2 linked regions of the Danio rerio genome follow. The protein of the gene in region 2 interacts with the protein of the main gene of each other region in a pairwise test. Links are inferred from orthologs where the notes say so. Each region holds a gene or a part of one and is shown on either strand. Other genes may lie near its edges.

The links.
Region 1: the proteins of dnpep (region 2) and mpp1 interact in binary tests that used the Homo sapiens proteins (3 or more experiments, as listed by UniProt). The two-hybrid records come from large-scale screens. The link is inferred for Danio rerio from reciprocal best matches to the Homo sapiens genes DNPEP and MPP1.

The regions. Positions count from the first base shown.
Region 1 is NC_133196.1:48,086,178-48,091,310, forward strand, and holds part of mpp1 (55 kDa erythrocyte membrane protein), read right to left. Parts: exon of another isoform or gene 5,016-5,133; intron 4,602-5,015; exon of another isoform or gene 3,518-4,601; intron 3,392-3,517; coding exon 3,285-3,391; intron 1,975-3,284; coding exon 1,894-1,974; intron 1,781-1,893; coding exon 1,700-1,780; intron 1,559-1,699; coding exon 1,356-1,558; intron 1-1,355. UniProt on the Homo sapiens protein: Essential regulator of neutrophil polarity. Regulates neutrophil polarization by regulating AKT1 phosphorylation through a mechanism that is independent of PIK3CG activity.
Region 2 is NC_133181.1:14,866,931-14,872,656, forward strand, and holds the start of dnpep (aspartyl aminopeptidase), read left to right. Parts: upstream 1-1,835; 5' UTR 1,836-1,927; intron 1,928-2,161; coding exon of another isoform or gene 2,162-2,170; coding exon 2,171-2,252; intron 2,253-2,957; coding exon 2,958-3,046; intron 3,047-5,726.

The DNA.
Region 1 (5,133 bases), on a different chromosome or scaffold from region 2:
TTCTTCAAGACACTTCTATACAGCTTAAAGTGACATTTAAAGCCTTAACTAGGTTAATTAGGGTAACAAGGCAGGTCAGGGTAATTAGGCAAGTTATTGTATAATGATGATTTGTTCTGTAGACTAATGGAAAAAAATATAGCATAAAGGGGCTAATAATATTGACCTTAAAATGGTGTTTAAAAAATTGAAAACTGCTTTTATTCTAGCCGAAATAAAACAAATAAGACTTTCTCCAGAAGAAAAAATATTATCAGACATACTGTGAACATTTCCTTGCTCTGTAATAATTTGGGAAATATTTAAACAAGAAACAAAAAAATTATTCTGACTCCAAATTATCACTTGATAGATTACGATAACAACGTTTGTTAGTCCTCAAAGAAGGTTGTATTTTCTGGTTGGATGATATATACGAGTTATTGACTTGACGTTGCATTTTCAAGACAAAAAATGACAATAATTAGTGTCATATAAAATGCATAACTGTTAAACATACTGTAGACCTCTTGTTTGAAAAACTTATGTGTTAGTATTACATTTTTTGCACTTTTGAGCCAGGATGGATGGATGGATGGATGGATGGATGGATGGATGGATGGATGGATGGATGGATACATAGATAGATAGATAGATAGATAGATAGATAGATAGATAGATAGATAGATAGATAGATAGATAGATAGATAGATAGATAGATAGATAGATAGATAGATAGATAGGCAGGCAGATAGATAGATAGGTAGATAGACAAACAGATGGATAGATAGACAGATAGGCAGACAAACAGGTAGACAGATAGATAGATAGACAAACCAAACATATAGATAGACAGAAAGGTAAGTCTCCCGCAACCCTCCCGTTTTGTTATGTCTCCTGGAAAAGTCACATAATTTCGCCCAGTCTGTGAAACCCCGGGGTCACCAACTTTGGTATATTATCCGATCGCAGCGGTCGCCTGAAACGCACTCCATAGTACAGTTACTAACAGCACAGTACCCGCTTCTTAACAGTGTTATTCAGACACCTCACCCCCGAACCACCCCCAGATCTCCCAGACTTTCAGGAACAAATGTTGGCAGGTATGAGACAGATAGACAGACATACAGATAGACATATCCTAGATGTGCAGTTTTGTACCGTACAGTTGAACATTAGTACCTCTAGGGTACACCTTTGCACCTTTAAAGTTCTCTTTTATCCCTTTAAGATACTATGAGGTACACATTTGCACTTTTAGGTATTTATATGTGCCTTTGTACCTTTATTTTTGAGTGTGTAGAGCATTCTTAGTTTGGCATTAAAAAAGGTCAACATGTGACCAAAAGTGCACAGACATCTTCCAGATCTGTTACCTGTGGTTCGACATCCAGCACTGCGATCTTGCCCTGCTCGTGGATCTTGTGGATGGTTTCGATCTTCGTGCCGAACATGTGTCCCTGATAGCTGCCGTACTCCAGCAGCTCGTTTCCAACAATGCCTTTAGTCATCTCGTCGTTAGAGATGAAGTAATATTCTTTGCCGTTCTCCTCGTCCTTCTTCTGAGGTCTAGTTGTATCTGCAAAGAAAAAACATTATGATCGTGTAAAACATATGATGGAATAGTTGGTGGTTCATTCCGCTGTGGCGACCCCTGATAAATAAGGGACTAAGCTGAAAGCAAATGAATGAATGGGAAACAGAAGTGAAGGATACATACGTGGTGCTGGATAAGCAAACTTCTCAGGATATTTGCTCAGCAGTGAGTTTTTAATAAGGCTCCTTCCAACTCCATGTGCACCTTTACACAACAGAAAGAAACAGTTTTAGTATCTACTGTATAGTGATGAATGGAAATAACAAATAGATTTTATATTCCTATTTTCACTATTAATAGCACAATATATGGCTCACCGATGAGAACCAGGGTCTTTCTGTTGAACGCTGGAAGTCTCACTACCTCTTCATAAGATATGACATCAAGCTGGTCAAAGACTAATGAAAAGACAGAGAAATTCATCAGTTAATGCTCTATAAGGGCATCTGTAGACTTAAATAGTGGCTTTTATTACATTAAGCCATGATGTGGTTATTCAGAGGTATAATAGAAAAATATTTAGATTTATTAAGCCTAACCGGCCACTTAATTAGGTACACCTTACACCTTGCTAGTAGAACCAGGTTGCCTTCAGAACTGCCTTAATCCTTCATAGCATATATTTAACAAGCTACTGGAAATATTCCACAGAGATTTTGCTCCATGTTGACATGATAGCATCACACAGTTGCTGCAGATTTGTCGGCTGCACATCCATGATGCCAATCTCCCGTTCCACCACATCCCAAAGCTGCTCTATTGGGTTGAGCTCTGGTGACTGTGGAGCCCATTTGACTGTGGAGCGGCACCCGGTGTGGTCTTCTGCTGCTGTAGCCCATCCGCCTCAAGGTTGGACGTGTTGTGTGTTCAGAGATGCTCTTTGTGAGTTACTGTTGCCTTTTTATCAGCTGGAACCAGTCTAGACCATTCTTTGTAAACCCTAGAGATGGTTGTGCGTGAAAATCCCAGCAGATCAGCAGTTTCTGAAATATGTGGACCAGCCCGTCTGGCACCAACAACCATGCCACGTTCAAAGTCACTTAAATCCCCTTTCTTCTCTATTCTGATGTCTTGACTATGTCTACATGTCTAAATGCATTGAGTTGCTGCAATGTGATTGGCTGATTACAATTTGCGTTAACGAGCAGTTGGACAGCTGTACCTAATAAAGTGGCCGGTGAGTCTATATATATATATATATATATATATATATATATATATATATATATATATATATATATATATATATATATATATATATATATTTATATATGTGTGTGTGTTTAAATTTACAGACTGTCTTACTATTATATTATATTATATTATATTATTCACAACATTCAAATTAGCCAAAAATATTATTATCGTGATTGGTAAATTATAAATGTAATAAATAATAGCACTAGGCTTAAACTGCAGGTGACAATAACATTAAAAAACAATTTGTTAACAAGAATACAAATAAAACATTATTAGTTTGTTTTGTTGTTAAGTGTAAATCATTTTCAGCAGAACATTAATGACTGTGAAAAGACTTGTAACATTCCTGAATTTGCATGGAAGTGAACACAAATCCTTTTATAAATAAAGCAGCACATGTGTGTTTAAACAGTGTGCGAGTACTTTGTTTTACTGTATAATGTTATAAAACTTTATGAAAATGCATAAATAAGCAGTGTGTGATGGTATACAGGTGCGCTTCACTAACTTGAGCTGTGTTTGGCGAGGTATTTGTCTTTGCATTTCTTCTTCTTGCCAAAAGGACTGCAGGACTGTCCAGCTTCCCGTGTTGCTTTGCTTTTGCTCGCTACTCTCCTGCAGAAACACCACAAGCATTTACTGAACTCACTGCTCAAACTGTCCTGAGAACCAAAACGCAGGCTCACTGGAAATACAAGCTTCAGCCAACATTTACAAATAGGTGTTAAATTTAGTTCCTGGAGGGCCGCAGCTCTGCACAGTTTAGTTCCAATCCTGCTTTAACACACTTACCTGTTGTTTCAAACATGCCTGAAGGACTTAATTAAATCAATAAGCTGTGTTTAATTAGGGGTAACGCTAAACAGTGCAGAGCTGCGGCCCTCCAGGAACTGGATTTGACACTTGTGCTTTAACGCATGCTACACTGCAGTATGTAGGTAAAATGAACACTAGGGGGCAGTATGATGATGACCTTTTATTCCTTTTCACAAAAATGATATTTAGAGACATGGTTAACGAATAAAGGATTGCTTTTATGCAGTGCTTAGCACAACAGCAAATAAACCCCACAAAACAACTTAACGCTGCCTGTGATTACGAATACTGATAATGAATACTGTTGTGTCAACAATATATCTGTACATTTTTTTGGCATGGTCAGTTTTCTCGTAGCTCACCTTGTACTGTGTTGTCCTACAGAGTGCTTCAGATTGAGTCCGATAAAGTACGTTTTTACGATGTAAAATCAAGGTGAAACTATGTTTATTTCTCTTACGTCTGCTTCTGTAAACACTATCGGTTGGGTTTAGGAAAGAGTTTAGCTTAGTGGTTCGCTAGCTGAGTTGCACGACAAGCTCTGCCTTTCCCTGGACGTGTACAATAGGGACATTTATATGAAACTCAACTCACCCTAAGTAACGTATTTCAAATTCGCATATTTTCACAGCACCCTCTAGTGGATTTGTCATCTAAAACGAACAACAAAACTACCCTAAGTAATGTATTTAAAAGTCGCAAAAATGCAGACAGCCCCCTCTAGTGGATTTTTCATCTGAAGTTGGCAACTAAATGTACCCTAAGTAACATATTTTAGTCGCCATAATGTAAATAGCGCCCTCAAGTGGATTTGTCATCTGAAACGTACAACAAAACGTACCCTAAGTAACATACTTCAGATTTACAAACATATAGACAGCGTCCACTAGTGGATTTGTCATCTGAAACCTACAACAAAACACACCCCAAGTAACGTATTTCATATTTGTAAAATGTAGACATTGCTCTCTAGTGAATTTGTCATCTAAAACGCACAAGAAAACGTACCCTAAATAACGTATTTCAGATTCACAAAAATGTAGACAGCACCCTCTAAGGGATTCGTCATCTAAAACATGCAACAAAATGTACCCTAAGTAACGTATTTCAGGTTTGCAAACATGAAAACAGCGCCCTCAAATGAATTTGTCATCTGAAACGTACAACAAAACGTACCCTAAGTAACGTACTTCAGATTCACAAACATATAGACAGCGTCCTCTAGTGGATTTGTCATCTGAAACGTACAACAAAACGTACCCTAAGTAACGTACTTCAGATTCACAAACATATAGACAGCGCCCTCTAGTGCATTCGTCATCTGAAACGTACAACAAAACACACCCTAAGTAACGTACTTCAGATTCACAAACATATAGACAGCGTCCTCTAGTGGATTTGTCATCTGAAACGTACAAAACACACCCTAAGTAACGTATTTCAGGTTCGCAAACATGTAGAAAGCGCTCTCTAATGGATTCGTCATCTGAAACATGCAACAAAACGTACACTAAGTAACGTATTTTAGATTTACAAAAATG
Region 2 (5,726 bases):
ATATATATATATATATATATATATATATATGTATATATATATATATATATATATATATATATATATATATATATATATATATATATATATAAATGTATATATATGTATATGTATATATATATATATATATATATATATATATATATATATATATATATATATATATATATATATGTATATATATGTATATGTATATATATATATATATATATATATATATATATATGTATATATATATATATATATATGTATATATACGTATATATATATATATATATATATATATATATGTATATATACATATATATTTATATTTGTATATATACATATATATATATATATATATATATATATATATATATATATATATATATATATATATATATATATATATGTGTGTATGTATGTATGTATGTATATATATATATATATAAATAAATATATATATATATATATATATATATATATATATATATATATATATATATATACCCTCGGCAGGGTCAGTTGGCATTTCTGTGTGGAGTTTGCATGATTACCCTGCGTTCACGTGGATTTCCTCTGGGTGTTAAGGTTTCCCCCACAATCCAAAGATATGCTGTGCAGGTAAATTGTGTAGGCTAAATTGTCCTTACTGTATGAGTGTGAATGTGTGTGTATGGATGTAGGTGGGTTGCGGCTGGAAAGGCATCTGCTGCATAAAAAATATGCTGGATAAGTTGGTGGTTCATTCCGCTGTGGCAACTCCAAATTAATAAAGGGACTAGGCTGAAAAGAAAATGAATGAATGGATGAATGAATGAAAAAGTGTAATAATAAAAATATAAAAAATAGTCAATAATATTAAACAGTGCTACATAATTTTGCAACTTTTCATAAAAAAGTACATTAATAAATAACAATAATATATTTTAATACTTGTTTGAAGTAAATATTAAATATCGTAAAGCCTTTTCTTTATGTGCAAATACATTTACACTCCTCACTTTGTATAATTAATATGCTAATAAAAATACTTGTTCAGAATAAATTACATAACATTTTTGCCACGTCACAAAACATTTACACGAAACATGGTCATACACTAAAAAATGCAGGGTTCCTCATAATTCATGTAGTTCCAACAAAAATCTGTTCAATATTAACTATTTTGTGCATTAAACACAAAACAAGCTTTTTTAAAAAATCTCAAGAATTGTGTTGTTTCATCTCATTTAATTTCATATAATTTCAAAAATCTTTTTGAGTGTGTTTACATATGAAGAGTTCAGATACAAAAACCCAAATGCCATCTGAAATGGTCTTCAAAAATGAATTTTTTTTTCTCAGTGTCCTATGTTTAAATGCTGTTATTTGACTTTAAATGCAGTGAAAATAACCAATAACCATAACAGTGAAATATCTGAAACTACACGGAGAAAAAAAAATAGAAAAGTGCTCATTTTAGAAGATTTCTGATGGCATTTGCATCTGAACTCTTCATATGAGGTTTGTTTTTAGTACTTGTTTGAAGTAAAAGTTAAATATTTGGAAAGCCTTTTCCTTATTAGGTGGATGTATTTACACCCCGCAATATTAATTGTATAATTAATATGGTAATGAAAATAATTGTTCGGTATAAATAAGATGATATAAATCTCCGAGCTTCATGCTAGCAAAACGTAAAAAGTGCTAATGTGGGCTGCCAGAAGAGCTACTTCACCTCCAACCACTAGAGAGCGCGATCCTCCTTCTGCTACAAGGCGACAGCAAATCCACAGAGCTTCCTGCCTTCTTCATCCCCTGAACTGAATGTGAAAGTCCACTTTTTATCATTTATGCAGGTAGGAAAGGTTGTCGAGTAACTTTGTAAGAGCGCTATTTGTGCAGAGATTTATGTAGTGGTTCTCGTGTTGAATTTCCGGTTTGCTGCTAGGGTTGTGATTTGGTAACGTACGCTTTTTTAGGGATTTTTTGTGTTTGTATGTCACTTTATTGCACATTTACATTACAAATGGCACCTGTCATTTTTAAGTGTGTGTATTAACTTGGTTCGAAGTGAACATTCACAAAACAAGAGTAGACCTGGTTCCACAATGTCTTACGTTAACTAACATTAGCATATGACTGTCTCCTGTCCCTGTATGTTATTTATTTAACACTTCTCTTATGATTTCCACAGTCTTTCATCATGAAAAGCTCCAAAGAAGCTGTACAGGCCGCTGCCAAAGAGTTTCTTAATTTTGTCAATAAAGGAGTTTCACCTTACCATGGTAAGAATGACACATGTAGTAAATATATTTTTATTATTGGCATTTATAGTATATAGTATGTTTTTGAGTCACACTGTAGTAAAGCATATGAAATCATCTGTAAGTAGTAATATAAACAAATGATCTGAACTATAATACACTACACCACTGTTTACTGTAGTTAAAACTAAATTATACAACTGGCCATGGTTTAGCAGTTTACTATAGTTAATACTACATTAATGCTGCACTAATCATTAACAAAGAATTGTAAATACTAAAGTCTATATACAGCAGATAATACATTCCAATATTTTGGTTCAAAAACTACATAGTAATCACAATAAACTATCGTAGTGTTTTTTGTGTGAAGGGAGTAAATTGCAGTATATTGAGCTGCAAGGCTATACAATTTAACATTTATATGGATAAATAAATTATTTTATTTATAGAGTTTGAGAAACACTTTGTTGATAATAAAATTAGCCAACTTTACAGTCTGACTAGATACAGGTCTTGAACATTGTTCCTCTCTAGCTGATAAAGCTCCAGATACGGGTAATAGATCCTGATCTGGACATTGAAAGCATGCACCTTCACTTTTTCCCTACATCAACAGACTTTGTGATTTGTCATTTCAGGTGTATTTGAGCATGCAAGAATGTTAGTTTACACACAGTATGTTTCCCTTTTAACTGTTTTTCTGTTTCCTTCTGTGTCTTGCAGTGGTGGAGGAGTGCAAATCTCGCCTGCTGAAGGCTGGTTTTACTGAGCTCAAAGAGGCTGAACATTGGGACATTAAACCTGCCAGTAAGGTGTGTGTTTGGAAACATTAAGATTTACAATTGCTTTGTTTAAAGGGCCATAACACCCTCCTCTTTTGGTTCTAGTCTGCCAAAAAAAAATTTCAAAAAATGCTCCGAAATGGGCGTGGAGCTTTACATGCAGAGAGAGGAGTGGGCGTGGCCAGCAGAGCAGGGGAAAAAGAGAGAAGCGAACAACTGCTGTTAGTTGGCTCACAAAATGAGACACAAACCATGAGACCCATGATTTTATAGTTTACAAAGTTAAAATGTAAAGAAATAAACAGTAAGGTATTTAATGCCCTGCTACATAAATTATTCGTAATTTCATATACACAAAACCACAATTTGTTATATCATTATAAAGATAATCAGGTTTATATAAACACTATAAACTCCTATACTTAGACACCTGACAAAAAGGCTTGCTGCAAACCAACAGCTTTGCTGTATTGGCCTCAACAGCATCGTGGGTAAAAACATGCAACAAACCCCGTGGACCATGGAAACAAACACATACGACCCATGCTATGCGCAGCACAGTCTCACTCAATGGCTCTCACAGCTTTGCAGGTCTGTTATTAAGAAGCAGGGTCTTCTCATAGTAGTGTTTCCTCTTGGGTTTTTTCCAGCTGTGGCGGCAGTCCTTTTTTAAACAGATCTGCCAAATACCTGTGGCGTTATTTTAATGACAAATGTTGTGAGCGCAGTATTAGATGTCGAGATCGCATTTATGTAATAACCTACATGTAAGAGCATGTGAATCTCTGCTTGCACGCCGATTTCCTCTGCTCATGCACAAAACTTTTTGCACGCCACCTCAAACATAAGCCGCTTGAAGAGTGCGCAGATCTTGTGCGATCTCAAACAAACGCTGCTGAGTGCGATTTAGTGCGTTTATGTAACAATTATGTCTCCAGCATTTATTAGATTTGCTAGGAATGTTTATAAATGCCTCTAATAGACCTAGAGAGTAGCATTAATGCGTAATGAAGTAAAGTGAAACGACTATACGTCGTGTTTGGCATCACGCACTTGTCAGTCTTTCAGTCAGTCACCACGTCACCTTAAAAGGTTAAAGAAATGATGCAGAGCACTTACTACGGTTACAGAAAAGTTTGCGTTGTTATAATTTACTTACCCTTTAATACGTTTTGGTGCGATTATCACCCGCTATTAAAAAAATAAAATGTTTTGAATCAGAAGCTGTAATGTAGCTGTGGCGGGATGAATTTTGACGTGGCGCCCCGCCTTGAAAGAATGAATGTAGCGGAAACCATGCACAGGATAAGAAAGCTCCGCTATGAATAATAATGAGAAACCGACACGTCATCATTTCATTCGCAAATTTGCGCCACGTCACCGTCACGTCATTTTGATCCCGCCCCAAAAATATTTTAAACCCGGAAAATTGAATTATCTAACAAAAGCTCAAAATTATCCAGTTTTCATTCATTCATTCATTCATTCATTCATTCATTTTCTTTTCGGCTTAGTCTCTATTGATCTGGGGTCGCCACAGTGGAATGAACCACCTACTTATCCAGCATGTTTTATCCTTCCAGCTGCAACCCATCACTAGGAAACATCCATACACACTCATTCACACTCGTACACTATGGACAATTTAGCCTACCCAATTCACCTGTACCGCATGTCTTTTGACTGTGGGAAAAACTGGGGTACCCAGAGGAAACCCACGCCAACACTGGGAGAACATGCAAACTCCACACAAAAATGCCAACTGACCCAGCCGAGGCTCGAACCAGCAACCTTCTTGGCTGTGAGGCGATCGTGCTACCCAGTGCATTACCGTGACGCCCATTATTCAGTATTCCCCACAATTAAAGCTGACAGGTGCTAACGTTGTCTTAACTGATGCTCAACACACACACACATCTGTTAAAATTTCAAAGAAATACTCCAGAGTGTCTTGAACCTTTAAAAAAAGAGCCTATTATGCTCATCAATGATGCATTTATTTGATTACAAACACTATAAGATGGTTTTATTGAGAAATATTATTTCAATGTATCTGTGCCCTGTGTGTAATATTTGTATTCTTAGAACTTAACACTTTATTTTAATAAAAAATAATTTGTAGCCAGTTACGTAAAAAGGTCTTGATTATCTTGCAAAGTATAGTCAGCCACGTGTCATATTCGATTACTTATTCTATATATTATTTATTCTATATAATTATACAGAAGCTATTTACTGCTGCTTACAGGATTTCCACACTTCTTGAAAGTATTTGAAAGTACTCGTATGGATTCAAGTCCTGGAAATATAGGTTCAAGACCTGGAAAGTACTTAAAAACAAACATAAGTGCTTGAATGAAATTTAAAATTAAATTTGTTTATGATGTTACTTCAACAATTGTGCCGCTGTCAATAACTGGATGAAAAAAACAAGAAAATTCTTAATTAAAAACAATTGCTTCTTGTACAAGAACTATGACAAATAATGCACATAAAAAAGAATGAACATGACTGCTTAAAACAGTAATTTTTTGAAAATGACCCATTCAAAACATCACTGCCTGGTTCAATGTAAATATTGAAACAAAGCAATATGTAATTATATGTAAGTGAAATGTTAATAGTCACATTACAGGATATGCAATGTAGAAATATGTATTGTATCATAAATGATCATTTGCACATGTTTTTGATACCTGTGATTGTATAA